2 linked regions of the Astyanax mexicanus genome follow. The protein of the gene in region 1 purifies or fractionates together with the protein of each later gene. This does not show direct contact. Links are inferred from orthologs where the notes say so. Each region holds a gene or a part of one and is shown on either strand. Other genes may lie near its edges. The genes, in order: zinc finger protein 521 and hdac1.

What was found.
Region 2: the proteins of zinc finger protein 521 (region 1) and hdac1 purify together in Homo sapiens (affinity purification with mass spectrometry; 3 studies listed by BioGRID and IntAct, counting the BioPlex papers as one, with this or other methods). This does not show direct contact. The link is inferred for Astyanax mexicanus from reciprocal best matches to the Homo sapiens genes ZNF521 and HDAC1.

What each region holds. Positions count from the first base shown.
Region 1 is NC_064415.1:10,738,616-10,754,704, forward strand, and holds the start of zinc finger protein 521, read left to right. Parts: upstream 1-7,244; 5' UTR 7,245-7,382; intron 7,383-7,408; exon of another isoform or gene 7,409-8,359; 5' UTR 8,360-8,360; coding exon 8,361-8,400; intron 8,401-16,089. UniProt on the Homo sapiens protein: Transcription factor that can both act as an activator or a repressor depending on the context. Involved in BMP signaling and in the regulation of the immature compartment of the hematopoietic system.
Region 2 is NC_064410.1:39,606,472-39,622,511, forward strand, and holds the start of hdac1 (histone deacetylase 1), read left to right. Parts: upstream 1-9,920; 5' UTR 9,921-9,987; coding exon 9,988-10,039; intron 10,040-11,879; coding exon 11,880-11,992; intron 11,993-12,086; coding exon 12,087-12,204; intron 12,205-12,669; coding exon 12,670-12,744; intron 12,745-12,850; coding exon 12,851-12,989; intron 12,990-13,533; coding exon 13,534-13,675; intron 13,676-13,829; coding exon 13,830-13,922; intron 13,923-13,999; coding exon 14,000-14,108; intron 14,109-14,195; coding exon 14,196-14,336; intron 14,337-14,999; coding exon 15,000-15,108; intron 15,109-15,994; coding exon 15,995-16,040. Other genes in the region: marcksl1b (MARCKS-related protein 1-B), read left to right, coding at 2,434-2,514, 3,520-4,083. UniProt on the Homo sapiens protein: Histone deacetylase that catalyzes the deacetylation of lysine residues on the N-terminal part of the core histones (H2A, H2B, H3 and H4).

The sequences.
Region 1 (16,089 bases):
ATTTTTTACTCAGTAACGGGGAGTTTTCCAATGTAGCAAAGTAAATTACTTGTGTCAAAATGTACTTGAGTAAAAGTAAAATGACCTATTTTAAAAACTACTTTAAAAATTACAAATTACTCATAAAATTTACTCAATTACAGTAACTTGAGTAAATGTAATTAATTACTTTCCACCTATGGTGCTTAACAGTGCTTCAGTAGCAAATTTTGCGAACCTGATGTTACAGGCATCTTATAAAGCCTCTTTCTACTCCGATTTCATCTCCAAACATGGCATGGAAAGCTTATTCCCCCTCTGTGGGCAAGAGGACACTCTGTGTCGTGTGAGTTCAACTGCAGTCCTTTTCCAATAACTTTTGGATACGGGTGAGGGGAGAGTGATCTCGCAGTCCTCAGGGGTGAGAACAGAGAGTGTGAGCCCTTCCGCGGGGGGTCCTTCCTGGGTCTCATTTTCACATAGGTGGGGAGTAAAGCCTGGACAGGTGAGATGAGCCGGAGCTCTGCTAAAATAAGTAAAAAATCCAGAGAGCCGAGCAGACGCTCTTAGTGCTAGAAGCCTTGAGTGCTCTTCATTAGATCCTCACACTGCTCTTCACACGGGCCAAAAAAGTCACGTGAACTTCACACATGGAAAGGTGTCTAAAAGTCTCAATTTTTAGAGCACACACACTGCATGTGATAAGGCTGAGTTACATGGATCGGTTCAGTCATTATCACATTATATATAAATATATTGGAGACGTTTTAGTCACAATATAATGAGCACCTTATTACACTCACAGTCCATTTTTTAGCTGCTTACAGACTGTAGTTCTGTATCTGTTTCTCTATATACTTTATTATTAACCTCCTGTTCTACAATCCTCAGCACCCTACAGGAGAGAAAACACCACAGAGCAGCTATTATTATTATTATTATTATTTGGGTGGTGGGACTTTCTTTTGTGATCAATTTTTAATTGTTTTTTAAACATGTTCCTTATATAAATCTTGTCTTAGATAGATAGCTAGATAAATACGATTTCTGTGCAGTCTGAGAGCTTAAAAAAGTATGTGAACCCTTTGGGATTACTTGGATTTCTGCATACATTGGTCATTAAATGTGTTCTGATCTTCATCTAAGTCACAACAATAGACAAACACAGTTTTTAGAGCACACACACTGCATGTGATAAGGCTGAGTTACATGGATCGGTTCGGTCATTATCACATTATATATATATATATATATATATATATTGGAGCAGACAAACCAAGTCTCCCTGAAGCTGCGGGAGTCTCCCGCATTTCGGTAGTGGCTCCCTGATGCCCGCGAGTCACATATAATCTCCCGGAATTCAGAACGAGTGCCCCAAACGTGCACACAGGCCACAGACTTTTTTCTCTAATCGCGTGTGGGAAGGAGAGATAGAAAACAGAGAGGGTTCTGATTGGCCTGTACTCTGCAAAGAGTCTGTGAGACAGCCAATCAGTTTTAAGTGTGGGCGGGCAGTGTTTTTCCCCCCTCCCGGACGGGATTTGTTCAGTGAGTGAGAGAAAGCAGATCATGGCGGAGGCAATATTAATAATTATCGTAATATGATATGAAATGTTTTTGATATTGTGCAATTTTTCGTGATATTGTAACTGTCATTTTTTGTCAAATAAAGGCTTTTTTCCAAAAAAAAAAAAGGAAAGCAGAGGCAGGGCCTTCCAAAAAGAAAAAAGATAAAACTCATTTCACCTCTGAATACTCTAAATTTAATTAAAAAAAAAAAAGTAAAATTAATTAATATAAAAGTAAAGTTTCGTTATCCTTTGGTGTGTGTGCAAGTATTTTTTGTTTTGTTTTTTTTTGGCACCTCCCTGAAATCAACTTTTGCAACTTGGGATGTCTGTTGGAGAAGTTTTTGTCACAATATTATGGCCACTTTACTACACTCACTGTCCATTTTTAGCTTCTTACAGACTGTAGTTCTTTATCTGTTTCTCTATATACTTTATTATTATCCTCCTTTCACCCTGTTCTACAATACTCAGAACACCACAGCAGAGAAAACACCACAGAGCAGCTATTATTATTATTATTTGGGTGGTGGGAATTTTTTTTGTACAAAAAAAAAAAAGAGAAAATACAACATAGGCAGATACAGATATAAAGAATAAAGCTTTTCAGTCACTGTCACACCAAATAAATATAGAGAAACAATTTACACGTTGTCTAATATTGCCTAATGAAATAAAAAAAATCCTTAAGGGTTGATCTAATGGGATCCCACCCCATAAGTGTAGCTGCTTCAGATTTAGTTATCGTTGCAGTAGTCTGTTCAAGAGATACCATGTCATGATAGAATAACAGCCATTGTTTTGAGAGTCTTATTTTGGGATTAAACCAATTAAATGGGAACCTTGCCCATTTTGTAGCTTAAGTATGGAGTGGAATAAGCCCTATGTAGGGTGTTGGAACTTTTTATTATTCTTTTACATTCCAAATTTAATATTATATTAAATTTATATTAAATCTATACAGGAACATGTGCAGAATTATTCTGTAAACAAACAAAAAAGTGTTAAACAAACCAGAATATTTAAAATTTTATATTTTAGATTATTTTAAGTATCAGATTTATCTTTGAGGACAGATCTGCACACTCTTGGTATTTTAATCTCAGTGTCTTCATGAGGGAGAGTCACCTGGAATAGTTTTCTCAGCATCTTGAAGGAAGGAGTTCCTGGAGGTGCTGAACAATAGATACTGCTTTTCCTTCACAGTTCACCAGGTTTAGATCAAGGGATTGGGTCAGGTGGAGGATAAACACTGTTTTAAACTGTCTTTAATAGTAATATACAATATAGAAAAATCAATTAAGGAAGAAATGCATAAAGAAAAACACTAAATGAGAAGATGTGTCCAAACTTTTGACTGGTACTATATATAGTCCCTAAGCCCTGATGCTTGCCCGAAAAAATAATCATAATACAATAATTTGCTATAATAATTTTTAGAATCTGTTAAAATTGCTGAGATATTTGAAATAATAAAAACTCATATTGAGATATATTTCAGAAAAATGGCGACAAATACGACATGTTATAAAGTAGAATGTTTAAAATATCTGTATCTGTTTGTTTGTAATACCATAAATACATAAAAACATGGTATATTTAAATAGTAAACAGTATAGATAAAAAAAATATTGAAATTCACAGCACTGTATTGATTGCCTAACACTGTCTGATTGCCTAAATTATAAATTATTAATTATAAATAGGCATATTTTGGCTAAAAATCTGCAAATTTTACCATCCTCATCGAATTCAGTTAAATGGCTAAACAATTTAAAATAACAAATAAAACTATTCTAGGGCAAAAACAATATAAATATAATATATATATAATATATAAAACACTGTATATTTCCATTTCTATATAGCAAACAGCAAAGTTTTTTGGAAAATAGAGATGCTAGCATTAGTGCTACTGTGAGCTGATTGGTTGGTTGGTGAGAGCGGATGCTGGAGTTACAGCCAGAGCAAGTTTAGAAATTGTATAACATTTAATACCATAATTTGATATATTTTTTAAATCCTTTAAAATGACTAATAATAAAAAGTGTCTAAAAACTGTAAGAATTTTTTATGAGCTTTCACTGCCTCTTGTTAATATTTCTTTATCTTTAGGGGTTTTTTTTATTTCTTTTTTTCCTTTGTCTCCCGAATGTATTATCATGCTGTCTTCTATTGTGGTTTCTTTGTATTAACTAAGAATTTTACAGAATTAAAAAAAAAAATGCTTATAATTGGAGTTTACAAGCTTTCAATGTGTATCTGCAGTACTGAAACATAAAATATTGCTCAGTGTTAAAAAAATAATATTATTTCTAGTTTAAAAATATCAAATATTTTTAAACTATTATTCTTCTTAATTGCTTATTTTTTACTCATTCCAGAGCGCCCTCTGGTGGTCTGACAAACCCAACAGCTGCAGTTCCTTGTCCAGCCACTAGGCGTAAGTGAGTCGGAGCTTGTGCGCAGGTGCAGACACTAATTACCAGTCAGCGGCTTGTTTGGTTTGTTTGTTAGTTGTTGTTTTTTTTTGCCGTTTTTGAGTCAACAGCTTGTGTTTTTTGGAATGTTTAAACTAACGCACCACCTACAGAAAGCAGAGTGAAGACTTTTAACCTCTCTGGAGATTTCTTCTTTCAGCTCATACAGTAAGTAGCTATTATTAAACAAAGCAGCAGAGCTAACAAACACCACAATCCACACACAACAGCAAACAACGCAGACCATATTTAACCACCATAACCAACAATACAGCAGCAGCAACAGCAGCAGTCAGATAGCTTATGCCAGCCAGCATGGTCAGAATATGGAGGTTTTAACACTAGACTAGTAGGACTTTAATTTTGTTTAAATTTGTGTTTCCAGTCTGAGCTCCATAGATCGTGCAGTTTTGCATTTCTGGTCACTGCCTGTGGGTTATTTTACTGTAACAACATTTCCTTCAAAAAAAAAAAAAAAAACTATTTCCTTCACCTCTTTCTGCTTCTTTCTTTTAAATAAACATTTGCACAGTTGTTTTACATATCGTATAAAAATATAGTGCTGATAGGCCAAAATATAAAAGCATTTCTTAAGTAGTTTATTGGTTTAGTGATATGAAAGTGAAGCTAACAATGTTGTCAACGTCTTTAAACAGGAGGCAGGTACTGTCCAAACTCTTTTACCATAATAATGTGACACTCCTGAAACTGTATCCTTAAAACATTGCCTTTCTGAAAATGTTATGACTTTACTCTTAAAATATAATTACTTTAATTATAGAAATGTTCTGACTTTACTTCTAAAATCGTATTACTTTAATTCTCAAAATATTCTGACTTTACTCTTAAAATATTACTTTTATTTTTTTAAATATTATGACTACTCTTAAATTATTACTTTAATGCTTAAAACATTCTGAATTTACTCTTAAAATTAAATATTTTTACTTTAATTCTGAAAATTGTATGATTTTACTCTAATTTATGACCGTATTCTTTAAATATTATTACTTTATTCTTAAAATTGCCTGACTATTCTTATTATTCTGAACACTTTTAAAATAATATTACTTTTATTCTCAAAATATTATTACCTTAATTCTTAAAATATTATTACTTGTATTCTCAAAATAATTCTTAAAATATGATTACTTTTGTTCTCAAAATATTTTTACTTTCATTCTTAAAATATACTGACTTTATTTTTAAAATATTACTTTTATTCTCAAAATATTGACTGTATTCTCAGAATACTATGACTACTCTTAATATATTAATACTTTAAGTCTTAGAATATTGACTGTGTTCCCTAAATTTTATGACTTTTTTCTTTAAATGTTGTCTTTATTCTCAAAATATTATGCCTTCATTTATAAAGTAGAATAACTATTTTCAAAATATTATGACTTCTCTCAAAATATAAAACTTTATTTTTTTAGTGGTCCAAAAACGCTGTTGTAATTCTCTTATTAGACTCAAGGAGTCATAATATAACTCCTTATAAAACAACGATGAAAATAATATTCTTTGTGTAAGGAAAAAAAATGCCAGGGTTTAATGAACTCTGTAAGTGATGAAATTGTAGCTACACCAAAAGCTACTGTTTATTTAACACGGGCAGATTTACTGTTTGGTCCTCGAGCTCTACCTGCCTGAACATTTCAGTCTATGCTGGTCACGTGTCCCTGGAGGCTCTGGTTACCTGGATCAGGTGTGTGAGATTAGGGGTGGGGGGTAAACTCTGCAGGGTGATAGATCTTCTTGACCAGCTCTGAGCACCACTGTACTCCTTTACTTTCTGACTAAACGCTGTAAATCCTTCCTATTTAACAGATCAGAGAAGCGGTGCTGTTTTCTTTCTGCACCCGTTTTCACACAAGCCCCTCCTTCCTGCGCTGGGATTGGTTTATGAACAGCTCGAATTTGTAAATTATCCACCAATCCCGGATCAGGAGGCGGGCTCATACTAAACCAATGCGTGTCCAAGATGAGAGACCCGAGTAGCCAATGGCAGCGCAGGAGAAGGGACGGAATTAGCCAATCTTAGTGCGCTGAAGCTGTTTTAGGAACCAATCACATGAAAAGCGGGCGGGCTTAGTCTGAAAACGGGTGGGAAAGTTGAGAAAGAAGGGAGGAAAAAAAGTAATGAACAGAAAAACGAACTTGGGCGCTGAAAAAAGAGAAAATAAAATACGAAAAAATAAAGCATGTACTTAAAAACACTTTAAAATACTTTAAAAACATGTTTAAATTGCATACTGAGTTTTAAATACGTTTTTCCTGCACCCGTTTTCAGCACCGGTGATAACTTTCTTTTTTGTGGTAGTATTTATTTTTGTTCATTATTGTTTGTTTGTTCTATTAACTTTTCCTTCTTATAAGCATTTTTCCTTTACAAAAATAGGCGCGGGCCTTAGAGTGTAAACCGGTAGGAAATGATAAAAATAACGTATAAAAAAATTAATAAAACAATTATCTATAAAGTAAAAACTTTATAAAAAGTTTATTTTATTCTGTAATAAAAAAAAAACACGTTTGTGTTGACTTTTTCCTTTTTAATTTTCTTTCCTTACTTTCCTTTTTCTTTCTTTTTTTTTTAAACTTGACCTTTTTGGACTTTTTACCTTTTTTTTTTTTTACCAAAAAAGTGTGTGGAGCTACTTAAACACGGGAAAGTTGATTTAAATGTATTTTTTTAAGTTAATTATTATTTTTTTAAAACATTTTTTAAACCCGTGTTTTGCTTATTATTTTTCCTTCCTTCCTTTCCTTTAACTTTCCCTTGTTCAGAGCACCTTCTTTTTTCTTTACTTTTTTTATAAAAAGCGGGCGGAGCTACTTAACGTAAACACGGCTGAAAAAGTTGAAATATGTTTTTTTATATATGATTATTTGTTAAAAAAAAAAGACTTATTAATACTTAATAATAACATTTTATTCTATATTTTATTTTTTTATTTCTTCGTATTTTTTAAACATTTTTTACACCCGTGTTCTGCCTATTTTTTTCCTTTTTTTTTTCTTATTTTCTTACTTTCTTTTCTCTCTCTCTCTTTTAAACCCTTCCCCTCATGCCGAAGCGAAAAGCTAGAGAGAGTCCGGATCCTTGCGCGGATCGGATTCTCCACCGGGTTTTGCCACCGATTCTTTTTTTTTTTTTTTTTTAATCATGCCTCTCCGTGAGTGCTCTAGCGCAGGCAGGCTGACAATGATTTCCTCAGTGATTACGTACAGAGCGAGTCCCTGCGGGCTCCGGGCCCCCTCTGGAGCCATCCGCATGGCTTTGGGGGCCTCGCTTCCATTTTCCATTATTATGTGGACTACCGGAGCGACGGCGCAGTCCAAGACCTCGCAGGTTTGTGATGAGGAAGGAGCTGCTGCTCGCATCCTCCTCTCCTTCTGCCTCCTCTTCTTCTTCTTTTTCTTCATCTTTCTCCTTCTTCTTTCTCCTCCTCCTCCTCCTTCTCTTCCTTCTTCTGCTCCTCTTCTTTTTCTTCTTCTTTATCTTATCTTTCTTTTATTGCTGATTATTATTTTTTTAACAACTGAGAAAGACAAAACAACCTTTAAGACGCCGACTTTCCTCCGGTTCTTTTGAACAGCGCGAGAAGTGACACTTTGCGGTGTTTTCGCAATTTTGCGGCGTTTTTGGTTTTTCACGCTTTTTGTTGATTTTTTTTTTATTTTGCGCGGTTTGTTCTTTTTCTTTTTCTTCGCATCTCTCGTGATGTTGCAACGCGATGCGAAGCGCGTGGGCATTTTTATTTAATTTTGCATCTTGATTTTTTTTTTTGCAATATTACATTAGCGTTATTATTTTTCGCTCGTGCGATTTTCTCCATTGCACGTGCGTGCGCGCGCCCGCCCGCCCGACACGGCGAAAGCAGCAAGCGAGCGAGCAAGCAAGAGAGATTCAGAAAGCGAGCGAGCTAGCGCGAGGGAGAAAGAAGGAGAGAGTTGCGGCGCGGAGATGGTCGCGCGACGGCTTTTTCTAGTGCACGGTGCACCATCGTCCTCCTTACACTTTCTCCCGACACCGATTCCGTGCAGTTTTTAAGTCGGATTTTTTTTTTTACAAAATAGAAATACCTCCCTCCCCTCCTCCTGCTCCTCCAAACCGACCCCCTCTCCTCTCTTTCCCCCTCCTCACTCCCTCTTTCTCTCTTTTTCTTTCTCTTTCCAAGCAAAGCATTACATTTATTTAAAACTCCCTCGCGCCAGGGCTCTTTTTCCTCTCTTTTTCTCTGTATTTCTTTTTTCTTTTTTCTTTTTTTGAGTGTTTTGGTTTTACCCTCTCACGCACTGAACGCCGTCCTCCTTCCCCCCCGTTAGGATGTCGCGCCGCAAGCAGGCAAAACCAAGATCACTGAGAGGTAAGTGCTGTCTGTGTGGCGAGGCGCAGGCGTTCTGATGCATTATAGCGCTTCTGTAACGCTTTAGGTTCGCCCCTGTGAAGGCTGCACGCGGTCTGAGGGGTAGAGCGCGTGTTTGTTGTCGAGGGGGCAACTGAACTTTGGAGATGCTGTATTTTGGGTTGGGGGAACTGTTGAGTTTGAAGACTGTGGAGGGATGTGGCTAGAACACTGTTTGGTTGAGTTTTCTTTTTTTTTGGGGGGGGGGGGGATGGTCAAGTGACGTTGCTTGTTGAGTTTAACACTTGGTGGTGGTAGTTTTGATGAAAGGGGAGGGGGCTTAAAAGAGCAAAAGAGTAGAAGTAACAGTCCAAGCTGTTTCTCTTCCATTCCAGAGTGGTCAGCTTAAACCTCTTTAAACTTTGGAGATTTGGTGGATTTAGGTGTATTGGTGGGGACGGTTGAGTTTGAGCACTGCTTGTGTTGTGAGCTGTTCTGTGGAGGAATGTGGTTGGTCCAAAGATTGGTTGGATTGCGATATAGAAGGCATGTAGGATTCTGAGTTTTTTGCATTTTTAGAGAGTTACCGCTTGATTGTGTGGTTTTGTTTGTGGAAGGGGGAGGGAGGATAATAATAAAAAAAGAGGACTTTTTATTCCATTCATGTACTTTTCTGGAGAGGTTGTCCTAAACCCTTCATTGTGGTTGGGGGTATTAGAAGTGGTTGTTGTCATGTGAGATACAGTTCATAAATTGGCAAAAATGAAAGTACGAGATTTTTTTTTTTTTTTGGAAGGGATGCAGCAAATATTTGGCAATTGAAACTGTTTCACTGTAAATAACCAAAAAACGCTTTCGTTTGTGAACAAACTGAAAAATCTATGCCAAACAACAACGTTTTGGATGACGCAATGAAATTGCAACCAGATTGGGTGTTAAAAATGTTTAAAATAAGTGTTTTTGCTCTTTCTTTCTTTACTTTTATGCATCCAGTACTGTACCAAATGTTTGTTTGTGTTTGCTTTTTTTGCCAAGATTTTTCATTTTACTGCATCCCTAGCTGTTTGTTGTTTGCAGAGTTTAACAATTAGTAGCAGTACTATTTTGAAGAAGGGGTTAAAAACAACAAAAAAAAGAGATGTGGCCGTGGGGTCATATGACTATGCTTGCAGAATTTTACACTTGGTGGTGGTAGTTTTCTTAAAGGACAGGTGGGGTGAAATAAAGAGGAAACGAAAGAAAATGTGTACTTGGAATACTGTCTGAGATGTTCATCCACCTTTCTGGAGAGGTCAGCTCAAAGGTCACGTCTCCTGTGGGTTGGGTTGTAGGGAGGGCTCTTGATGTTCTGGTTGTTCAGGTGGGGGGTGGACCTCCTGGAGCAGGTCTGGGACTGGTGTCTGCTGATGTCTGCTGGTGTTTAGATTGTTTAGGACTGTTGTGGAAGGTTAAAGAGGAGGTGTAGGACCATTGTACACCCGTTGACCTTAAACTGGCTGTATCTGAAGTTCAGTAAAGGCACATATGTGATACTAGCTGAAGACTGTTTTATTTATTTTAGCTGGAGAGTAGTCTGTACTGGCTATAGTTTAACTACACAGGAAAGTAGTGTGAAGAAGAGTATGAAGACTTCACTTTAATCGCACACACACACACTCTCTCACACACACACCAGTGCACGCGCACACACTGGGGAAAGTAAATAGAACGCAGACTTTTCCCCCTGTCGCCTTTGAGGGTAGCCACTGGTATTCATGGCTAAGCTCCAGTTCATCTGGCAGCCTTTGTATTTCGCTCAGCAAATAATTGTCCACAATTTCACATTCTCAGCTTGTGGTCTGGATGCCCCCCCCCTCGTTTGCTCTCCTTTTCTTTTTTTTCCGCTCCCCTTTTCGTTCTCGGAAGTCATCATCTCAAAGGAAGATTACATGGTCCGCGGTGTGTTCCTCCAGTCACCATTTTAAATCAATACCTCAGGGAGCAGAGAGGATGAACACAATCACGTCTCTCTCTTCTTACACACAAAGAAAGCCCGGCGATGACGGACGCTGGAGCTCAGACGTTTGGACGTTTAGAGAGTAGTGACAGCGCTCTGTTGTGAGGAATAGAAAAGTGGAGAAGTTGTATCTGCTTGAAGTGATCGCATCTGCTTTTCAGCTGAACTTTGCAGTTTCGTGTCGTCGGTGATGTTTGTGTTGCGTTGTATTTCGCAATAGTTCTAGGAGAACAGTCATTGGATTTTTGGCAATTATGTCCAAGGAGTTTGTCGGTTGGTTCATAGATATTTGTGCATCCTAGTGAGCAGATTACTACTTTATTAAAGGTAGTGATAAACATTATAGAGTAAAGCTATCGTTGATATCGTCGCTGTTCTATAAAAAACAATTATCTCCAAAACAGCAATTTCACAGTAGAGAGAAAAAAAACTTATAAACTTTCAATGGAAGTAATGTAAACAGAGTTTATTTCAGGTTATTTTTAACTATTTCTAATAGTCTGTTCACCAAGAAATTCTTCCACAGTGTAAGGGACAGTAAAAATCTACAAAAATGGAGATACTTGTTTTTCATTGGACAGCAACGGGATATGGTCAACATTTATATAACGATATATCTTAATTTAGTACCAATATTCACAATATGGAAGCCCCCCCCCCCAAACAAACTGTCAAGAATTCACACAATCTGTACCAAGAAACATCTAAAAAATGAACTTGCCAGTTCTTGTAATTGTAGTTCATGTAGTGACAGATGCTGTAACAATGTAAGTTGAAATATCTACTGTATATAATATACTGGATTCTCTATTGTGATATACAGTATAGTCAGTATAGTCAAATCAAATCATATCAAATTTATTTGTAGAGCGCACCATTTTACAACTGAGGCTTTTTACAAAGCAGCTTTACAAAAATGTGATCACAGGACAGAGAATCAGACAAAATGTTGATGAGAATCTTTATTATCAGTTTGTCATCAGGTTTGGCTGATATGAAGAGCTCTGTGTCATCCACATAACAAGGAAAATTAACGTCATGTTTTTTTTAATGACTTTGCACAGTGACAGCATGTATAATGAAATAATAGTGATCCTAAGATAGAGCCTTGTGGAATTCCATAGCTTACCTTAGTATAATTGGAAGATATATTGGAAGGTTAAGTAAGATTTGAACCATGATAAGGCAGTTCCAGTTCCAGTGTACTTTTTGTAGTTCATGAAAGTGTAAAAGGATGTACGGCATTATGTGCAGTATCGAATCGGATTTATAGTGTATCTTGTAGTATTATGAACACCAGTTTTTAACAAACTAGTTTAGAAAATTAAGTCATTTAGTCATTGACATGGTCAGTGTTTAAACATCATGGTCAGTTTTAATTGTACTTTATCATAGAAGACTGCCATGGTTGCAGTAAAGCAGTTATTTTTGGTTGCATGCAACGTGCTGTTTGCAAAGGGATGTGAGATAATATTGTTTTTGGAATTGTGGCAGTATTGGCAATTAATTGTGATTGATTGTGATATTTACAGTTGATGATAAATTATTTATTTATTGAACACATTCTCTGTTCACTAAAATAAAATATTGAATTGTTAATGTGGTAAACTGTGTTGTAATAACTCTTAATACATTTTCACTGAGGATTGTGTCCGTATATATAAAAAAAGCCCAGTTTTATATTTCATTATTACAAAAATACTTCTAACTTTCTAACTGGATGTAGTGCGTCTGAAAGCTGATATCTGTGTAGCTCTAACAGTGTTTGACTGTGAAGAAAATAGGCTTTAATTCCATACATGCATCAAGTCCTCCTGGGTTTAAGCTGCATCAGTTCAAAACTATAGACTGTTTCAAATGGTTCTGTGCAGACTATGTTTGTAATAGAGATGTGTAAGAATCATGAGTGTGATCATAGAACCTAATAAAATGGTCTTTAGACCTTTTACAGGTTCTTCACACTCGCTTATCCCGCATGGTTCTTCATGTGAACAGAGGTTTATGGTATAGATAGAACATATTGCTGCTTTCTGGTGGTGATAGTTCCTCATTAGATCACCAGCTTCTTAACAGTTATGCAATTCATCTTAGTTAGTTCATATAAATTAGTAAAGTGATATATATTTCCACATTTTAAAATCAATATGAACAGTATACAAGCTAAAGGCCTACAGCAAATGTACCTTCAAATGGCAATTAATGAAATGTAGCTTTTAATGAATGTCAGTCAGTGATAGATGCTGTTAATAATGTACATTTTGTGCCATATCGTGCCATACACAATAATATCGCCAACATTTTTGAATATATCTGAAATATCATGTCATATCACCCACCCCTAATTATCACATCAGGGTACTACTTTTTTTCTGTTTTTATATAAAAAAATTCACACTGTTTTCATTTCCCATTATATATCTACTAGAGACAGTTCATATCTGTCCAGTATCATTTATTTTACTTTAATCCTTTATATATGGGGATAAATTTGGAGTGCATTATTAGTATCATGACATTCTAGATCATTGATCATTGACTGTTACAAATCTGATCTAAAATTATTGTATTATTATCTCAGTTAGCTGTGTACCATATCATTCATATCTTATTTAACAATAATTTAATTTTCATTCTGGTGCAGTTGTGTATTCTTGAAGTATATATATTTTTTAATTCAGTGTTTTGTTATATCGCTAAGAGTATCGTTAGCACAAAAATATCATGAAATATCGTGATATTATTTTAGGGCCATATTGCCCACCCCTAGTTCAGATTACGTCAACTCATTCAGTGACTGGACTGGATGATATGATCAATATTTCTATTACAATATTTCTATTAAAATCAATATGAACAAAGATCAGTACAAACTAAAGGCCTACAACAGATGTTATTGTCAGCCAGGCCGTTATTATAAATAAGAACTTGTTCTTAATGACTAGCCTGGTGAAATAAAGGTAAAGTAAAATAAAATAAAAAGATGTACCTACAAACTTATGAAAAAAATATTTTTGTCAATGTCAGTGACAGATACTGTAAATAATGTATGTTAAAATGTTGTCAAAATGGTATTACTGTTACTAAAATGTTTTCTATTGCAGTAGATTATATTATATTGTTGCCGAATTATTGTCCAGTCCCACAAAACTGCAAGCAATATTTCATAGATGCAACCTGTTAGTTGCTTCTGGTAGACTTTTCATTGTGATAGGTGTAGCTTTAAGAGTTTTTATAGCATTATTACTGAAAAAATGCAACATTCACCATCATGTTATCTAAATCCGCTTTATAGGAGAAGTAAAATCCTTTTTGGCTTTTAATGGAAATCAATGAAAAAAAAATAAAGATTGTATTCCATTTCTCTTGGTCCACTCATCATAGAATTTTGTGTAAATATAAAGAACAGCTGGCAGATTCAGATTGTATCATAAGAGGAAAATTGCCAAATGGATATACAATGTTTTATGTGTATCTTTTAATTTGTCAGTTTTCTTACAGAATTAGGGTCATCCTTTTCTTACTATACCTGTTATAGGAACCATTGAATTGGTGAGTGTGCAATACTACCATTGCATTCCAGTGGCGAAATAGCTCAATTTAAAGCAGTGAATTGCAGGATTGGAATGCAATATTGCATGGATGCAACCTGTATTATACATCATATCATTACTGCCAATTAATTTCAGGTAATTTAGATCATTACTACCCACCCATTTGTCATTAAATGTTGATGCATTGATAAGAACAACTTCCAGATTCACGATATGCCAAAGTTTTTTATTGTGACTGTAATGATCTGCTTTAATTGTGTAGTACATTAGTTTATTGTTTATTGCTTTCAAATGGTGCATTTTTTTATGCAATGCAGTTAATTCATAGAAACCATTGAAGTGCATTTCAGTGGTCAGATTACTTCATCTCATGCAGTGAACTGCAGGACGCAATGCAATCATGCATGGATGCAACCTGTGGTCTGCTTCTGGGAGGCTAACGTTGTGATCTGGGTAGCTTTAACAGCCTGTATGAAGAGGAAAAAAAGAGCTGTACGTCCGTACACACACATAGCATTGCTATCTTGCAAAAAACTTAAACTTAACTTAAAAAGGGCAAGTTTATTAGAATAAAAACCCTTTTTACATGAATACTTAATATTGTGTAGTGAACTGCAGCACTGCATGCATGGAGGCCACCTGTGGTTTGCTTTTGGGAAGCTTAATGCTGTGATCTGTGTAGCTTTAACAGTCGATATGCAGGAAAAAGACTGAAAACTTGCAAAGATAACCTCCTTATTTTAACAGTGATCAAGTCAGTCTTTTTTGGAGTAGAAACAAAGCTAGTAAGCTAGTTGAGAATAGGGTTAATTTGGTGAATATTAGTAAGGGGATGATTTAGGCATGGAAAGCTGGGATTGTCCAAATTAAAAGCAATTGCAGTGTTAATTCTGCGACTTTTCTTGGTCTTTGGATGCAAAATAATGGAGCAATTATATCAGAATGGGTGGTTTTGTTAAAAAATATATAGATTTTTAATGATCTTCACTTGGCTGTAGACACATATTGTTAATAATATGCTTTATTTTTAATTGGATTAGAAATAATGTGTATTAGAATGTGTATTAGAAATCTAGATGAACAGAATATTAAATGCCCACTGCACTGAAATATATACACTTATGTTCATTTTACTGCATTTGTAAATAGTGATGAGCAATAATAATTTGATATTTTACTGTTTATTATGATGAATTTTATTGGAATAACTCTAATGCTCTTCTGAAGTCATTGTAGTTTGTGTCAGCACTGAGATACAATGACAGACTTTATGTAGTTCACTATTAAGAACAAACTTGTACTATCATTGTACTAAGTACTTTTTGGAGTTTTTTAAAATTTAACTGAATTTGTGTAATTAATCATGAAATTAAGAATTTAACCAACTTAGTCTTGCCCATGTAATGTTATTCTGTTTTTGTGTTCTTTAAAAGACTTTTTCTTAGGTTAATATTTTTTCTGTGTGTGTGTGTGTGCTCATGTAGAAGAACATACAGATATTTCAAGCTTTGGTGCATTATCAGAAGATGATGATAAATCAAATGTGTAACACAGTTTGTGTGAGAAAACTGAACAAATCTCATTAGTAGGGGTGGGCAATATGGCCCTAAAATTTGCATCACAATTGATTAAGCATATTCTTAGCTGTGTGACAAAATAATAAAAAAAATGTCTTTATTCATTTCAAAAATATAATAATGCAACAACATAAATGTTTTGAGTAGTATTTTTTATTTTAGTATAAATATAACAGTTTCAAACATTCAGTAGAAACAAAACAATCTGTAAACTTTTTCCTATTTAGTAAATAGTAACCTACTGAGACTGTGAATTTGTATAAAATAGAAATTATGTAACAAAATAAATAATGTGACATTTGTTTGTGGAGCATTGCTGTTAATTATTGTTGTCTGTCTGGAGTAGAAGTAAAGCTGCTAAACTAGCTGAGATTGGGTTTGATTGTAAATTGAGTCATCATGACATGCTGAATATTTTTTGCGTAATTTAAATATTATTATTTATGTCTGAAAAAGTGTCTGTATCTCTCTCTTTTTTTTTTTCGTCTTGTATTTTTTTTTGTCTCTGCCGAGCCGAGTCATAGTGAGCAGTATGTGTGCAGGGAGGATAAGTGAAGGTATGTGTCGGCCAGACGCCAGGTGAAAG
Region 2 (16,040 bases), on another chromosome or scaffold:
GACTCACCTGATTCACCTTTCTTATTTGCCAGGTAGGTGTGTCAGAGCAGGGAAAGCACCAACATGTGCCTGACACAAGAGCATTTACATACACCACTCAGCCATAACATTAGAACTACATTTTTCAACTCCCGACCTTAGTTCTGTCCAGACATGCAAGTCTTTGGCCCCAACATGCCTCATTAAGCCTTGAACCTCTATGACCCCACTGTCAATTTACTGATTGTTCTTGTTTGCACCACTTGTGTTGGGTTCTAACCCCTCCATACCAGAAACACCCATCTAAGAGCTGAGTAATGTACATAATACATAATTGTTTAGGATGTTTTATGAAGTACATAATATTTTATTGACTTTAGGGCATTTAACATGAAGTAAACTACGTTTTTTACCATTACATTATTGTTATTAAGCATCATTCTCGAGAACTAGAGCTCTTCAGGCAAAGGCCTAGTTAAAAACATTTTTCTATTACACTCTCGCTCAAGTACAGGGCTAAGAAAAATATTTCTTACAGCTGATATATGGTGTTCTTCACGTGGCTTTTGTCATGTGAGCATTAATCATGCTTCATACTATGTTATCAATGGAACAAATGATGTATATTCAATTTACTTTAATGCCCCTCTTCAATTGTTTACTGGAAACCTAATGGAAACTGCTTTAAGTGCTATGTGTTTATAATAAATTTAATAGACATCAATGTTAGACTAATTAATGACATTCAATTAAAATACTGGTGTAACAAGAGTGACAATAAGACACCAAAAGTCTTTTCACCTTAAATGAGATAATTAAACAAGAGTCTTGTTCTTAAAATGATAATAGGACATTAGCACCATAATAATAACTCATTATTAAACTTTTTTTCTCTCTCGATATTTTATTTGTCTCTAGAGACTTTACCTCTTGCCAGACTGTCATCCTAACAAAAGCTAGATTTACATTACAAACCACATTGCTCAAATCAGATTTGGCTACCTTGACAGTTTATATTATATTATATTCACAAAGTCACCTGTATCTTTGTGTAATATGAACGAATCTATCATTAAAACGCCTCGCATGCGCACATTGATATGTGTAAAAACTTTGCCTTTTTCACCAACAACAAAAAATCGTCATATTTGAGAGACGACCTGTAGCTTTATAAAGGAAAATGGATGCGTTAGCAGCTCATATGTGGAGAATCTTTTGCTCAAGTGAAGAGCAAACAGCTCATCTGAAGTACATGCTCAGGTTGAGGGGGAGAAAAAAGGCCAGGCGGCTTGATTTTCCTGTTTTTTGCAAAAGTGACTCAAATCTGATTTGAAAAAAAAATTGGCACGTTCATACAGCCATGAAAAAAATTAGATCTGAGCCACATTGAGCAAAACAAAAAATCAGATTTGAGCTATAACATATCTCATGCTCTATCACTTACCTACTTTATTACTTACTTAATCCTTGCTTACTTACATGGATTAAACAAGATTAGCACCAAGATTCTAATAAAACTGCTAAAAATGTCAAGTATATTTCGTTATGTTGCAATGCATAACTAACTAAACAGTTAAATACCTGTATAAAATAATGTATTCATGCGTTATGCCCAGTGATGACCAGAAAGCACTTAGAAGATGAAAAAATGAATGCATGGATTGATGGAAGCAAAGTAATGTGAATGTAGCCTAAGAAATAAAAAAGTTACAAAAAAAAAAAAAAAAAACATGGTAAATTGCTAATGTATTGGTTATTTTTTATTTTGTGGTACTTTTTTTCTTAAGTGGAGTTCTAAAGGGTCCTCTTTTCTACATTTATTGGAGTAAAAAATATTTAAATTTTAATAAATGTATTTTGACCCAAGTAGCTAACTAGCTAGCTGCATAGTTTGTTTACTCAGCTAGTTAGCTCAGTCCTCCACTTATTAGGTCTTATTTAAAGTGTTATTCTGTGGTCCTTATGTATATTGGGAGTCCATTAAGGTCTTATTGTACTTTATTTAAGCTCTAGAGTCTCATATCTCCTCCAAACGTCCAATAATATCAACAGAGCTCAACAGGTCCTACTACAGTCTCCACTGGGTCTCCAGCAGCTCTGATGCCATTTGCTTTCCCACATAATGAGCGGAGAGGAGGAGGGCCGCGGCGGGGGGCTATGGGAGGGCGTGAGGCGCCCCCTGATAGGCCGGTGCGGCGGAGCCACGCCCGTGGGCGGAGCCCGGGGTTTTCTTGAAGCGCCGTTCAACTGGTGTTGTTAGTAGTGGAGCAGCACTCGGAGAGAAAGGGTGGAGGAGGACCAGGAGGTCTACAGAGTTTTATAAACAGAAAAACAGAGAGAAATCCTCGCTCCTTTGGATGCGCAGCGAGCCCGAGGCTTTGGATTTACTTCTCGACTCACTGATTCGGTTTTTCTTTCTGTGAAAAGCTCGAAACTCTCCGAGAGATCGCGACGATGGGATCCCAGGCATCTAAGGGAGGAGTGGCCGTGGAGGGCAAAGCCGCCGAGGCGTCCGCCGCCAAAACGAACGGACAGGTAGGAACCAGTGGATGCGTTCATATGGTTTAACCCTCTTCCACGATGGTTTTCTGTGAGAAAAACAGCAGCAGCTCTCTCCGGCTGGTTGAGGAGCGTTTCGGTGCTCAGCAGGCTCCCCCTCCCTCCTCTCCACACGCGGGAGAGTCAAAAACCTCCATCCGACCGTCCCACCCACCCGTTGCATCGCGCTCGGGCATTTAATCTTCTGTATATAAAGAGTAGCGGGGCTTTTAATCGCAGGCACGGCGTGTTTGACTGATCCACAGTTGGCCTAAGATGTGTTTTATCATCGATAATTATCGTTAGGGAAGGTTCACCGCCGCGTAGGAGGGGATGCTCACCCTCAGTGTAATTTAAGCATCATCTAGATAAACTCCTTTACCAACTAATCCTTAATGTTTAACACCGGTTTTGTTGTATTTTCCTGCTCCGAGTTTACAGCTTTTTTTCATTCATGCGTCGAATAATCGAAGCCCAAATTTCTCCAGACACACCAGTCTAGACACTGCGCTCAGTAGCGGCTAAATCCACGTGTAATTGGTCAGATAGGCGCTAGTTATGAATCAAACTATTCATGTTTTTACAATAAAAACCAGTTCCACGCGATTTTCCGCTCGTGCTCGAGGGGTGTGTTCGTGTTTTCGTGTTTTTTACGCTAAACCGATCGTCGACGACGCACCGCGCATCGATCCGCTTCAGTCTTTTGTCTGAAAGCCGCCGTCTCGACCAGTCTCCACCGATTTGTGAGCTCTCGTCGCCCCCTGTCGGCGGGTTGCGGTACTGCAAGGCGTCACCTCCACCTCCATCACTTGCATTGTGTACGTGATTGGCCACAAGCGTAGTTAATCGTCGACGATTGAAGGGCTACACGTAGGATTTTGCCAAAAAAATAGTAATAACTATGTAATACTAATAGGAAAGCTCATGTAAATCCATCAAAAGAAGCAAAAATGCATTTTTAAATGTAAATGGTCTAAACTATCATTATCTCCCCCCTTTTAGGAGAACGGCCATGTCAAAACCAACGGTGACGTGTCCGCTAAAGCAGAGGGAGATTCAGCCGCCACCACCAACGGCTCGGCCGAGGCAGCCAAGGAGGCTGAGGCCGGCGCGGGAGATGCCATCGAGCCAGCACCAGCTGCCGAGGGGGACGCCGCCAAGCCTGAGGGCGAGGCCACCAAGGAGACCCCCAAAAAGAAGAAGAAGAAGTTCTCCCTGAAGAATTCCTTCAAATTCAAGGGCCTCTCGCTGAGCAAGAAGAGCAAGAAGAACGCCGAGGTGAAGGAGGAAGCTAAGGCAGAGGAGGCCACAGAGGAGAAGCCCGAGGAGAACGGGGCCGCTGCAGCGCCTGCAGAGGAGGAGAAGAAGGAGGAGGCCAAGGCGGAGGAGACCCCCGCCCCAGCCGAGACCCCCAAAGCAGAGGAAACCCCGGCCAAGGCCGAAGAGGCCGCCGCAGCCGCCCCCAAGGAAGAGGCTGCCCCTGCTGCCGCCGCACCTGCTGCTGAGCCCACAAAACCCACAGAGGAGACCAACTCCACACCCGCACCATCCGAACAGAATGAGTGATTGTACTTCACAAGGACTTTGTGAACTGTTTTTCAAGAAAAAAAATATATATATTTATATATATGTGTATATGTATACATATGTATATATACATGGATATATGTATATGTATATATACACATGTATGTGAAAAAAGAAAAAAAGAGAGACTCCTCGTGCCACTTTCTTCAAGATTAATATGAAATGACAGACTAGATTCACTAGTTCACTTCCCTAATAATGGCTCAAAGATCCGGGACTCTGAATTTAGGTTGAAATCACTTCGGGACCGGGATTTCAATGCAAGAGTGAGAGAAGTGTGAGTTTGAGAGCGGGATAAAGAAGGAAAGAAGAAGAGGCATCTTTCAAAACCCATCACCACAAAGATGCTATAATATAAAAAAAGAGAAGTGCAAGATAAACATCACCACATAATAATGACTGTTAAAAAAACGGAAAAGAAAAAAAAGACTTGCCAACTTTCTACATTCCTATATTTTAACCCAAATTTAAGTATTTTGTGGTGTATAGAGAACCATTTTAAATATCCAGAAGGCTTTGTCTTGTTTGTTTGAAATCGCATTTTAATTTTCATCTTGGCTAAAAAAAACACATTTGAGCTTGCTATGTTCACATTTGAGGTTTTAAAAGAAGCAGAGTTGTTATGTGTTAAATGTGAGCCTTGATCTGCTTTTTTGTCTCTGTAAATACATTTGACTGATTTTGTTCTTTATTTTGCTAATGTTAAAAGATGTTACTGGTTTTATTGTAAAGTTGATAATGGTAAATAAATGTTGGTTACCTAATGGAAGCTGAGAAGTGTCCTTCTTTACACTGATGGGGTAGAAAACATGCACTAGGTTTTCAAGCATATTGACATAATGTTTATTTATTAAACTATATCAATAAGTAGAGACAAAACACCAACCACATTAGCTTTAAATGTGCTATAAGGTTTAAAAACAATTTCCTTCCAGTTGCGGTTGACAATATTTTAGAATGGTTTTACAGGGTTGGTGGCCTGTTGATAACAGGCCCAGGATTGTTTTGAATGTTACTGTGAGGTGTCAAATATGTATCAAAATTACCACCTAGAATTCTACACCTTACATACAGAAACATTGCATAATAGCAGTGAAGTAAACTGCCTGATGAAGGCCAAAGAAATTATATAAGACCATAATGGCCTATAGACCCTTGTAAGTGGATCTAATGGCATTTACATGCCAGACTCAAATGTAGTGTTAAGAAGCAGCCTGATGTAAGCTATAATCACGTGTGCTGTTTTCATTTACAGTTTATTAGTGTCACAAATTCCTAAACAAGGAGCAGAGGGTGAGAATGTAGAATTTACTTATCGTAAATGTAAATATGGTTCTATGTAAAACTACATCAGTAAAAATAGTTTTGTATCTGTACTGAAACAAATGAAATGCGTCACTCGACAGCAAGTCGCAGATTGGTGTAACGTAATTTCTATTTTGATCATGTTTTTTTCAGTAATAGCTGTTTGTTGTAAATCACTAGAAATGTTATGGAGGGTTATTTATTGGTAACTCAGAGACTTGGTGTAGGATTAATTGACTATACCGTAATGCTTATCAGTTGTAGACCTGTATGCCTATTCTAAAATGCAGCCATTTAACGCTCCATTTTGATAAGCTTCTCTCCAACGCTCCTTCAATTCCAAAACATATTTTTGTTCTATGGTATTGAGTCAAATGTGGGCATATGTCGCCACCTAGTGTCAGACTGGTGTACTGTATCTATAAAATAATAACGTATAAAATAATGTATTCATAGGCTATTCCACTGAATGGATGCCATTTGCTTGTTCCAAATTAAACTTATTTAATCTTTTTTTTTTTTTTTTACTTCGAATCCAATAACAAATGTATTTAACAATTCAAAACATGTACTGGTCAAACTCATGCAGCTTTACTTAATGTTTCTAAGGTTTCTAAACTTTAGATGGTTACAAAACTCATGTGACATTTAAAAAGCATGTTTAAAAGCAAGTCCACTAATTCCTTTAATTTTCTCTCAAGAAAGTAATGGTTGACTGCATGTTCATATAATTTATATTTATGACAAAAATCACTCCTGTTAATGGCACTCATTCCTGTTACTGGAACTCACTCCTGTTACTGGAACTCATTCCTGTTACTTTTTATGTTTTGAGTAACAGGAATTAAAGTAATCGGAAAGAGATTTGAACATAGAATTAGCAAAAACAAGATAATTTTCTAAATTGTGGCTATGCTAAAAGCATGAGGCCATTGAGCACATTCTAGTGATTGTAAAAAAAAATGTATTTTAAAAATAAACATAAGATCTAAAAATGAATTTAGGTAACATGAAAGAGTGTCGGGATTGACCTCCTCAGTCATCGTTACAATAAGATCAAATATACAGAAAAACTAATGAGGGAACTTAATTTTGGTCTTCCCATGGTCTTCAGAAGAACCAGCTGATGTAACTTCCTGTTGTAGATGTGACTTGTAAAATGTTCCAGATGTTTCAGATGGGGTAATGTGTTACGGTAACAGGAATGAGTGACACAATGTGTATTTTTATTTTATGGATCTAAAATATGAAAACATATTTTTAAAGCATAGATGGGATTTGGAGTCACACAACAATGCAACAAAAAAGGGACATCGCTGAAGGATTTTAATAATTATATTTCATGGTAAAGTTTATAGATAGAGTGTGGGGACACATGACAAATTCTTTTTTTTCAGTGTTCTAAGTAGTTTTTAAAACTGTTTTATTTACATATTTAACTTTTACAATTAGGTCAATGTACAAGACATTAATACTACATGGTATATTCTATATGCTAACTTTGTGCAGGTTTGGCAGGTAAGTATATAAAATATTAATGTATCCACATGTTTTGTACTAACATGATGCAATGAAGCTTTGCTATGTCAGCACATTATAGTAATTTCTATTATTTTAGTATTATAAATAACCTATTTTTTTTGTTTACACAAATTGTTTAAAATGCATTTAAACAAACTAGTTTATATTATGCTCCATTGCTTAGTTTAAATTTTGTTTATATTTTTCTATTGTGCTGAACATCCAACATTTACACATTTTATTTTTATTATAAGAACATCCTAATCTAACTTCACTACTGTGCGGCCTATAATGCCCAGAATGATGACTGTTTTTAATACGCAGAATTCTATTAATTCTTGGTTTAAGCTTGTAGAGAGATGTCAGCAAAGAATGGCTAGAGTAGTCTGAGTTTACACCAGGTTGAACCTTGGTCTAAACAGAACAGAAAGCTGAGGTTGCAGTGGGCACAAACTCACCAAAACTAGACAGTTGCATTTTTAATTTGTACTCAATTCTTTTCCCAAACTAAGCAACTTAGCCCATCTTATTTGTAGGACCTGCCATCACTTACAATTCTCCCCCACAATCAAATGGTGAGTCAGCCACCGCCTCTTTTCTAACATGGAAAGTGCTGTATCCTCAGCCCTAAAGCATCTGGCCAGCATCACAATGGGAGTCATAAGGGGAAAGAGCGCCATCTACCCACCTAGTGAGAGCAATGCCAGTTATGCTGATGGCTAAGCAGCATAACCCAAGATTCAAAATCAGATTCCTCAGGCCTCAGGTCAGTGTCTTGGTCTACTGAGCAATTCTGGGCCTGGTAATACGCATCAATCGTGTAAATGCCACAATCTATTTAAGTAGTATTGCTGACCATGTGCATCCCTTCATGGCCACAATTTACCAATCATCTATAATGGCTACTTGTATGGCTAATTTATGTTTCCGATATTTCAGAAAATACAGTACTAACATACATCATCACAACGTTTTAAGACAAACACATTGACCATTTGTGTTGGACACAGATGGAATATGACCTCTGCCTTTAACAAATCCATGCAGCAAAGACTTGCATACATAATGAGCTCACATACAGAGACATGAGGATATATATTGCATTTACACATATTTGCGTATACACATGTTTATTTCCTTATTTCCGTATTGGAACAGCTAAAAAGAAAAATAAATTAATTAATAAATGTATATAATTTCATGCAAAACAAAATTATTGGCACCCTCAACTTAATATTTGGTCCCACAACCTTCAAAAAAAAACTCTACAGGTGATTAGGATTTAGACACTTTAAAACTCTACAGGTGCTTCGTTTCCATCCATCTCTGGGTGCTTTTTGAAGTATGTTTGGGTGATTGTCCTGCTGGAAGAATGACCTAGGATGCAAACCCAGCTTTCTAACACTGGGCCCTTCACTGTAACCCAAAACCATTTAATAATCTTCAGATTTAATGAGGCCTTGCACACAGTCAAGACAAAACATCTTTAAACCTCCACCATATTTGACTGTAGGTACTGTGTTATTTTCTATGTAGGCCTTATTCCATTTGGTAAACAATAGGATGATGTCCCAAACAGCAGTAATACTTTTATTATACAATTCCATATTTTAATCATATTTTTAAGGGATGATTTCCTTCCAATAAAGTTGGCTAATTGTTGCATCAGCAGATACTGAGTAAGGTTACATTTGGTTTCAAACAATATAAACACTGGTTGTGAACCTTTAGTGAATAAATAAAGCCCAAATCCTCTGTTTGTTTATAATGGTTTGTTACATAGACAGTACCAGTCAAAATGTTTAGAACACACATACATGTAGCAAATTATTTTTCCCTTAATTTTTTGGGATATCTAATCTCTGCAGGTCCAGTCAAGAACCAGAAATGGTAGAAAATCCAGTGTACAAAAATGTGCACTAAACTGTGTTTAAGTACAACAAATGAACTAAAAACAAAACCAAAAAAGTGATTTTAGTATTGTGATAAAAAACCTAAATAAAATCATTATATTCTTTAAAAAAGAGGGTGTGATGTTTAGCAAACAATTTATTGGATAACAGCAAGTAGCAGTAAGTAGCAATGGAACAAAAAGAGCTTTGGAAATGGATTAAAAAAATGTCAATTTACAAAGCCTTTGTCTGTATTAAAGCAGTATTGGAACAGATCGCATATTTTAACTGCAGCATTTACACACTTACACAGAGCACATTTAGACTTTCATCATAATAAGTAAAAAAGACTTAAAAATGCAGACAAGTTACAACTCTATAACTATTAAAAGCATAAGTCTTTTCTTTAGAGAATTTACAGATAAAGCCAGAGCTTCCTACACATTCAAAGGACTCACATGGCAGCGCCTTTAGCTAAGCTTAACGTTGGACTAGGTCTCAGTTTCAGCAGTGAGGAGAGGATTTAGAGATCTGACAGGTGAAGTACAGTAATAAAGTCATTGCTCAGATGGGAAAATAAAAAAGCAGATTGTCTGGGCCGTACAGCATGGCTACTGGACAACTAAAAAAATAAAGCTGTTCTAAACAATTTGACCGGTAATGTATATAAATATATGGACAACATTTCTCCCAAATTCCAAATTAAAATATTGTCATTTAGAGCATTTATTTGCAGAAAATAAGAAATGGCTGAAATGTTCTCCTACACCAGTCTTACACACTGCTTTTGGATAACTTTATGCCACTTCTGGTGCAAAAAGTCAAGCAGTTCAGCTTGGTTTGATGACTTGTGATCATCCATCTTCATCTTGATTATATTCCAGAGGTTTTCAATTTGGTAAAATAAAAGAAACTCGTCATATTAAGGTGGTCTCTTATTTTTTCCCCAAAGCTGTATATACAATGTATACGCATATCTTTATACCACGGGTTTGAACTCAACAAATTGAGCGAACAGTGCGGTTTGAGCGGATTGGTCCTGACACGGACAGAAACGCCCCCAGAAGGATATTCTTGAGTGTGATTGGATGATGAGGCCTGATGTCCCGCCCCCGATGTGCTGCGCTGCTGAAAGCCGGCGGGCCGCACGCTGACCGGAGGGAAAATGGCGCTGAGTTCGCAAGGAACAAAGAAGAAAGTTTGCTATTACTATGATGGTAAGAAGCTGCGCTCGGAGCGAGCAGGTTTACTCATTTTCAGTCGCTTTAGCCGAGTAATGCACCAGTCGGCCGGGACAGCGGTCTGTAATTGCGTTAAGTTTAGCCGGTTAGCCGCTTGAGTTCGGTACCCGGAGTAGTGTGTTAGCATTAGCCGGTTAGCAGCGAGTGCTCCCTCTTTATCCCCAGCTTCAGCTAACGAGAGAAACCCTGCGGGGTCCGGGCTGATATTCCCGCCTGTAAACTCTTTTTACGGGCAGCGCAGGGATGAGAAACGGGCTCCGCTGTGGCTATGGCTAATTAATCATTTAACTAATGTGTAGGATGCTCGTTCGTGGTCAGTTAGCTAGATAACCTAACACGCAGAGGACTGAACTTAGCTTAGCTTAGCTTATCTATCTGTTAGCAGGGCTAGCTAGCTTAGCCATTTATCTTTGGAAGTAAAATCATTTCACTGTAATAAAGGAAACCACTGAGCTCATTCTGTTCATTATGATAAACTTCAACAGCTACTTTGAGTAATAGTGAGGCTGGTCTGTTTGGTTTTGATGTAGCAGTTTTATTGTTTGAGTGCAGTTATTTAGCGTTAGCTAACTAATCTAGCTAGCTAGTTAGCCAATTCAGCCAATACAGAAAGTAAAAATTCTCCCCAGAATTGTATTACTATTACGTGCAGAGTTATGCTAAAGCCCAGCAATGCAGGCAGTATAAACAAAACTCTAAAGATTTATAGGTTATATTCGGGATCTGTAGTGCTGTGACCCTTTCTCTGTAACCCGGTAGTCTGCTTAGTTTTCTCAGCGCCTGCTTTGTTGTGTCTGCAAGTTCCCTCGTAGCTAATAAAAATAACAATAATAATAATAATAATAATAATAATAATAATATTTGGACATAACCTTTTATACATTAATGCAGTTCGAAGTTTCACCACGAAAAAGTAAATTTTTTAAATGTAAAGATTAATATAAAATTTCATGGGGAGGGAGAAAACAATTACAGGCATTATTAAAAAATAATATACTTGTATAAATGGCAAATAAATTGAAGCAGAAGTGCAGTAAACATTTAGAAGGGAAGTAATATGATTAGAAGATTTGCAGTTAAGAGAGATGGACTAAATGAATGCTAATCTGAACTAGGGCTGCAACTAATGATTTTGGTAGTTTATTTTATTATTATTATTTTTTTTTAATTAGTCAATTATTCAACGATTCTTTCTGCCATGTCCTCTATCTATAAAAAACGATTGAAACAATTAAACATTACACTTAAAAAGCTGTTAAATGTCTGGATGTTTGAACGTGGAAAGTAATGATATGTAGTGAGTAAATATACAATCTGTTGTGTTTGGACACTCCCCAGCACTTTGTGTAATGTGGTACTGTTACAAATTAATGATTAGTGGACAGTGAAATTTGTAGTTGACAAATTTTAATAATCAACGTTGTTGATTTTATATATCGACTAATCATTGCAGCCCTAATCTGGTTTAACACTCTTTTTAAAAGTTTCCATAGAGGGAAATGGTTCTGAGCTCCTCAGGAAGAGCCTTCCAGAGCTTTAGGCCATAGTGCTTGAAAGAAGTTTTGAAAGCAGCTTTTGTACTACCAACAGATTACTGTAGAAAGCCATTTCTGAAACCTATCTAACAATCATTTCACTAAGATAAAGAAGATCAAGTCCATGAAAACCATTACTAGATCATTTTAAAGAAAGTCTAATGTAGTATGTTAATAACGTTTTAACTTCAATAATGACCTGCCTCTGTAATTCATGTATTGTGTGAACTTCATTTTTATGTTTTTCAAATGTTTTACCCACTGTTCTACACTCTCTTTAGGGGATGTTGGCAATTACTACTATGGCCAGGGTCATCCCATGAAGCCCCACAGAATCCGCATGACCCACAACCTCCTCTTGAACTATGGACTGTACAGGAAGATGGAGATCTATGTAAGAGGAAGTTCAGAACTTCAGAATTTTACATCCTTATGTTAAGTGTCTCGGACGTTATGGTAATGAGGTATTTTTTTGTGTCTGTTTACAGAGACCACACAAAGCCAATGGTGAAGAGATGACCAAGTATCACAGTGATGATTACATCAAGTTCTTGCGTTCCATTCGCCCAGATAACATGTCAGAATACAGCAAGCAGATGCAGAGATGTGAGTATTCAATATGTTGATATGAGTTGATATGAACCCAGACTTTTAATTAAGGTGCTTTTCACCCAAAATATAAGTGGTTAGAATGCAATCTTGTGAAACAGACCATGTAACAGGAACTGTGATTTTTGAGCTCTTTTCGGATAGTAGCCATGTTTTCTTTAAGCTGACAGGTTTAAAATAATTGAAAACCAAATCAGTTGCATATTTGTGCATATATTTAAAGTTGTCATAAATGCTGTTGCCATTATGGAAATTATTTTATTGCAGTGATGAAACACAGTTGATATGATATTGTAAAAATGTGTACCTGTGGTTTAAGAGTTCATATAACTAAATCTAATTATTTCAAACTTTTTAGATTAATAACAAACACAGCAATTAAGCTCTTAAGTTATAAAACTATTTTTTTTGTTTGTTTTTTTGCTATAAAAAATTGATTTGTTTAATGTGTTTCCTTCCCAGTTAATGTGGGTGAAGACTGCCCTGTGTTTGATGGCTTATTTGAGTTCTGTCAGCTTTCAACAGGTGGCTCTGTTGGTAAGTGCGTTTAACCTGGCTAGCTGGATGGGTTCTTTAAGTAGGCAAGCCTGTTGCAGGTGACCAATGACCTATATTTAATAGTGCTGTTTCCTTTTTCTTTCAGCTGGAGCTGTGAAACTAAACAAGCAGCAAACAGACATAGCCATTAACTGGGCGGGTGGTCTTCACCATGCCAAGAAGTCTGAGGCCTCTGGTTTCTGCTACGTCAATGACATTGTCCTTGCCATCTTGGAACTGCTCAAGTATGTTTTTCTTAACAATTACTATTTTGGTTTTTATGCAGTATTTCACTTAAATTTAATTGCATGTTTTTCTTTTTATCCATTTATTTTTTATTGAATTATTGTCATGCTTTTAGAATAATTTCCTATAAGATCAGCTAACCTCATATCAGTAAAAAAAGAGCAGCTTTTGTTAAAAAAAAAGTTACAGGCAAAAATGTAATACTAAGACTAATGTATGCAATTTACAACACTACACGCCACAGCAGTGTAAATTTATCAATCTGTCTGCCGAGGCACGTAGGTCTCATCAGACAGACTGGCTGTGTGTTCATTTTTAAATGATGGCGCCCTTGTGTGATTGAGGTGTGAACAATCTTAAGGAAGTTAATTTTATACACCGGTCTTGTCTAGGTCAGTTGACATATTTGTATTCTGGTAAAAGTTAAAGGAACATTTTAATTAAGCTTTTTTAATTTAGTAAATTTCTCTAATACAGATATTTGATAATTCCTTACTTGAATAGTTGTTTTATACGAGGCTTTGTTTTAATACTGTTTGGTAGATACCATCAAAGAGTGCTGTATATTGACATTGACATCCATCATGGTGATGGAGTAGAGGAGGCCTTCTACACCACAGACCGTGTCATGACTGTTTCTTTCCATAAATATGGAGAGTACTTCCCTGGCACAGGTGACCTCAGAGTGAGTTCCCAGTTCCTTTGCCTCTTTTATTTATTTTTTTAATTTTAATATTTTTGCTTAAATAGACTGTTTGCAATTACACTACTTAACAGTACTTTTTGCTTACAAATAGATGTGGGTTCTAACTTTAGTGTGGCTAATGATTATTCCCCAGGACATTGGTGCAGGAAAGGGAAAATACTACGCTGTGAACTACCCGCTCAGGGATGGGATTGATGATGAATCTTATGAAGCCATTTTCAAACCTGTAAGTCATAATCAGTGTAGCATTACAGAGATGTCCTGAAAATTGACCAGTCTGAATTAATAAAATGTCTTCCTCAGATCATGGCCAAAGTGATGGAGATGTATCAACCCAGTGCTGTAGTACTTCAGTGCGGTGCTGATTCTCTATCTGGAGACAGATTGGGCTGCTTCAACCTCACTATTAAAGGTCACTTTCAGCACTGAGCATTACTCATAGCCAAGCAGTTGTCTGCTCTCATTCTGACTGATAACACTGGGTTTCTGTGCTCTGCAGGCCATGCTAAGTGTGTTGAATACATGAAGAGCTTTAACTTGCCTTTGTTGATGCTGGGAGGAGGAGGATACACCATTAGGAACGTGGCTCGCTGTTGGACCTATGAGACAGCTGTAGCCCTGGACAGCACTATTCCCAACGGTGAATACTGTGCTGTTTTAATTAAATTATTAATATTTGTTCTGAATGTTCTCTATAAACAGACCATGGGATCTTGGTTGGGGCACTTCCATTGCAAGAGTTGTTTGACAATAAGATGATTTCAAGACTGATTCTTAGTGGAAATTTACTTGTGTAATGTGACTGAAATTAGCCTAACTTGACACAATTAATCAGTTGCCATGCAATACCAAGACTGTATTTTGGCTATGGCCTTACTGATGTTTCTTAGCAGCATAGAATAGAAATTGATTTGGGTATAATTTTCATTAATTAATTTTTCTCCTTTTTCAATTTGGCAAATTACCAGTTTGTTGATTGCAGAAATATTGCAAAAACCTTAGCTGTAAATGGATATGTTATGGCTGATTAATCAAATTAAACAAAACCCTAGTAATATCTAATTTATCAAAATGACAATGTTCCTACAATATGTAATTTGAGCTGGAAGCTCTTTAAACGACTTGAGTAAACTAAAACTTGTGCACCTTTCATGTAAGAAATTGCATTACTTCATTTTATAATGTGAAGCTAGACAGGTTTAACTCTATGCTAACTCCTTAATGTCAACAGCTAGCTGTTCTATTTCTCTATTGGTATTTCTAACTTACAATTTGTTTTCCCACCGTTTTTTCTAATATATAGAGCTTCCATACAATGACTACTTCGAATATTTTGGACCGGACTTCAAGCTCCACATCAGCCCTTCCAACATGACCAACCAGAACACAAATGACTACCTGGAGAAGATTAAGTAAGTGTTCTACAGAAAGCAGTCACCTTCTGCTGAAAAATGACCACAAACTAAGACACACTAGAATGTGTGAAATGTGTGAAATGTGTTAAATTGTTACCCTGAGACTAGTGTTTGCATTTGTTCTAATGCAGCAGCTTTGTTTGCAGTTACTTATCTTAAGCTATGTTCACATTACAAGCCATATTGCTCAAATCAAATTTTACTCTGATCAAATTTGGCCTGTCTCTGTATGTATTGTGAATGAATCTGTCTCTGAAACATCTCACGCATGCACATTGATAACGTGCATAAACGTCACCTTCACCATCAACAAACGTCATATTTGAGAGACGAGCTTTATAAATGGAAATGGATATCAGCTTATGTGGAGCATCTTTTGCTGGAGTGGAGAAACAGCAAACAGCTGGTCTGAAGTACATGATCAGGTTGAGGAGGTGAAAAAAAGGCCAGGCGGTTTGCTTTTGCTGTTTTTGCAGCTATAGCTGCACAGCTGCACCAAGAGATGTGTGGACATGAAAGAGAAACTTTAATGTAAAGACTTATTAATTCCGATTTGACAGTCCACATTTGTCACATGTCCATGGATTGGATATGTATCTGATTTAGCACCACATATCGAAGTGGCTGAGATCTTATTAAAAAAATGATTTGGTATGTTGACAGCCATGAAAAAAAATCAGATCTGAGCCATATTGAGCCAAAAAAAAAAAAAATCAGATTTGAGTTAGTTTAGCCTGGTAATGTTAACGTAGCCTTATTACTGTTTCCTAAATGACACTCTTCAGTGCCTTTCTCTGCACACAATGTTTTGTTGCAGTATGTAGTCTACACAAGTGTATTTTTGCTGATTTTGTTTCTTCTCCTTTGCTTTGTCTGTTAATAGACAGCGTCTGTTTGAGAACCTGCGCATGTTGCCTCATGCTCCAGGA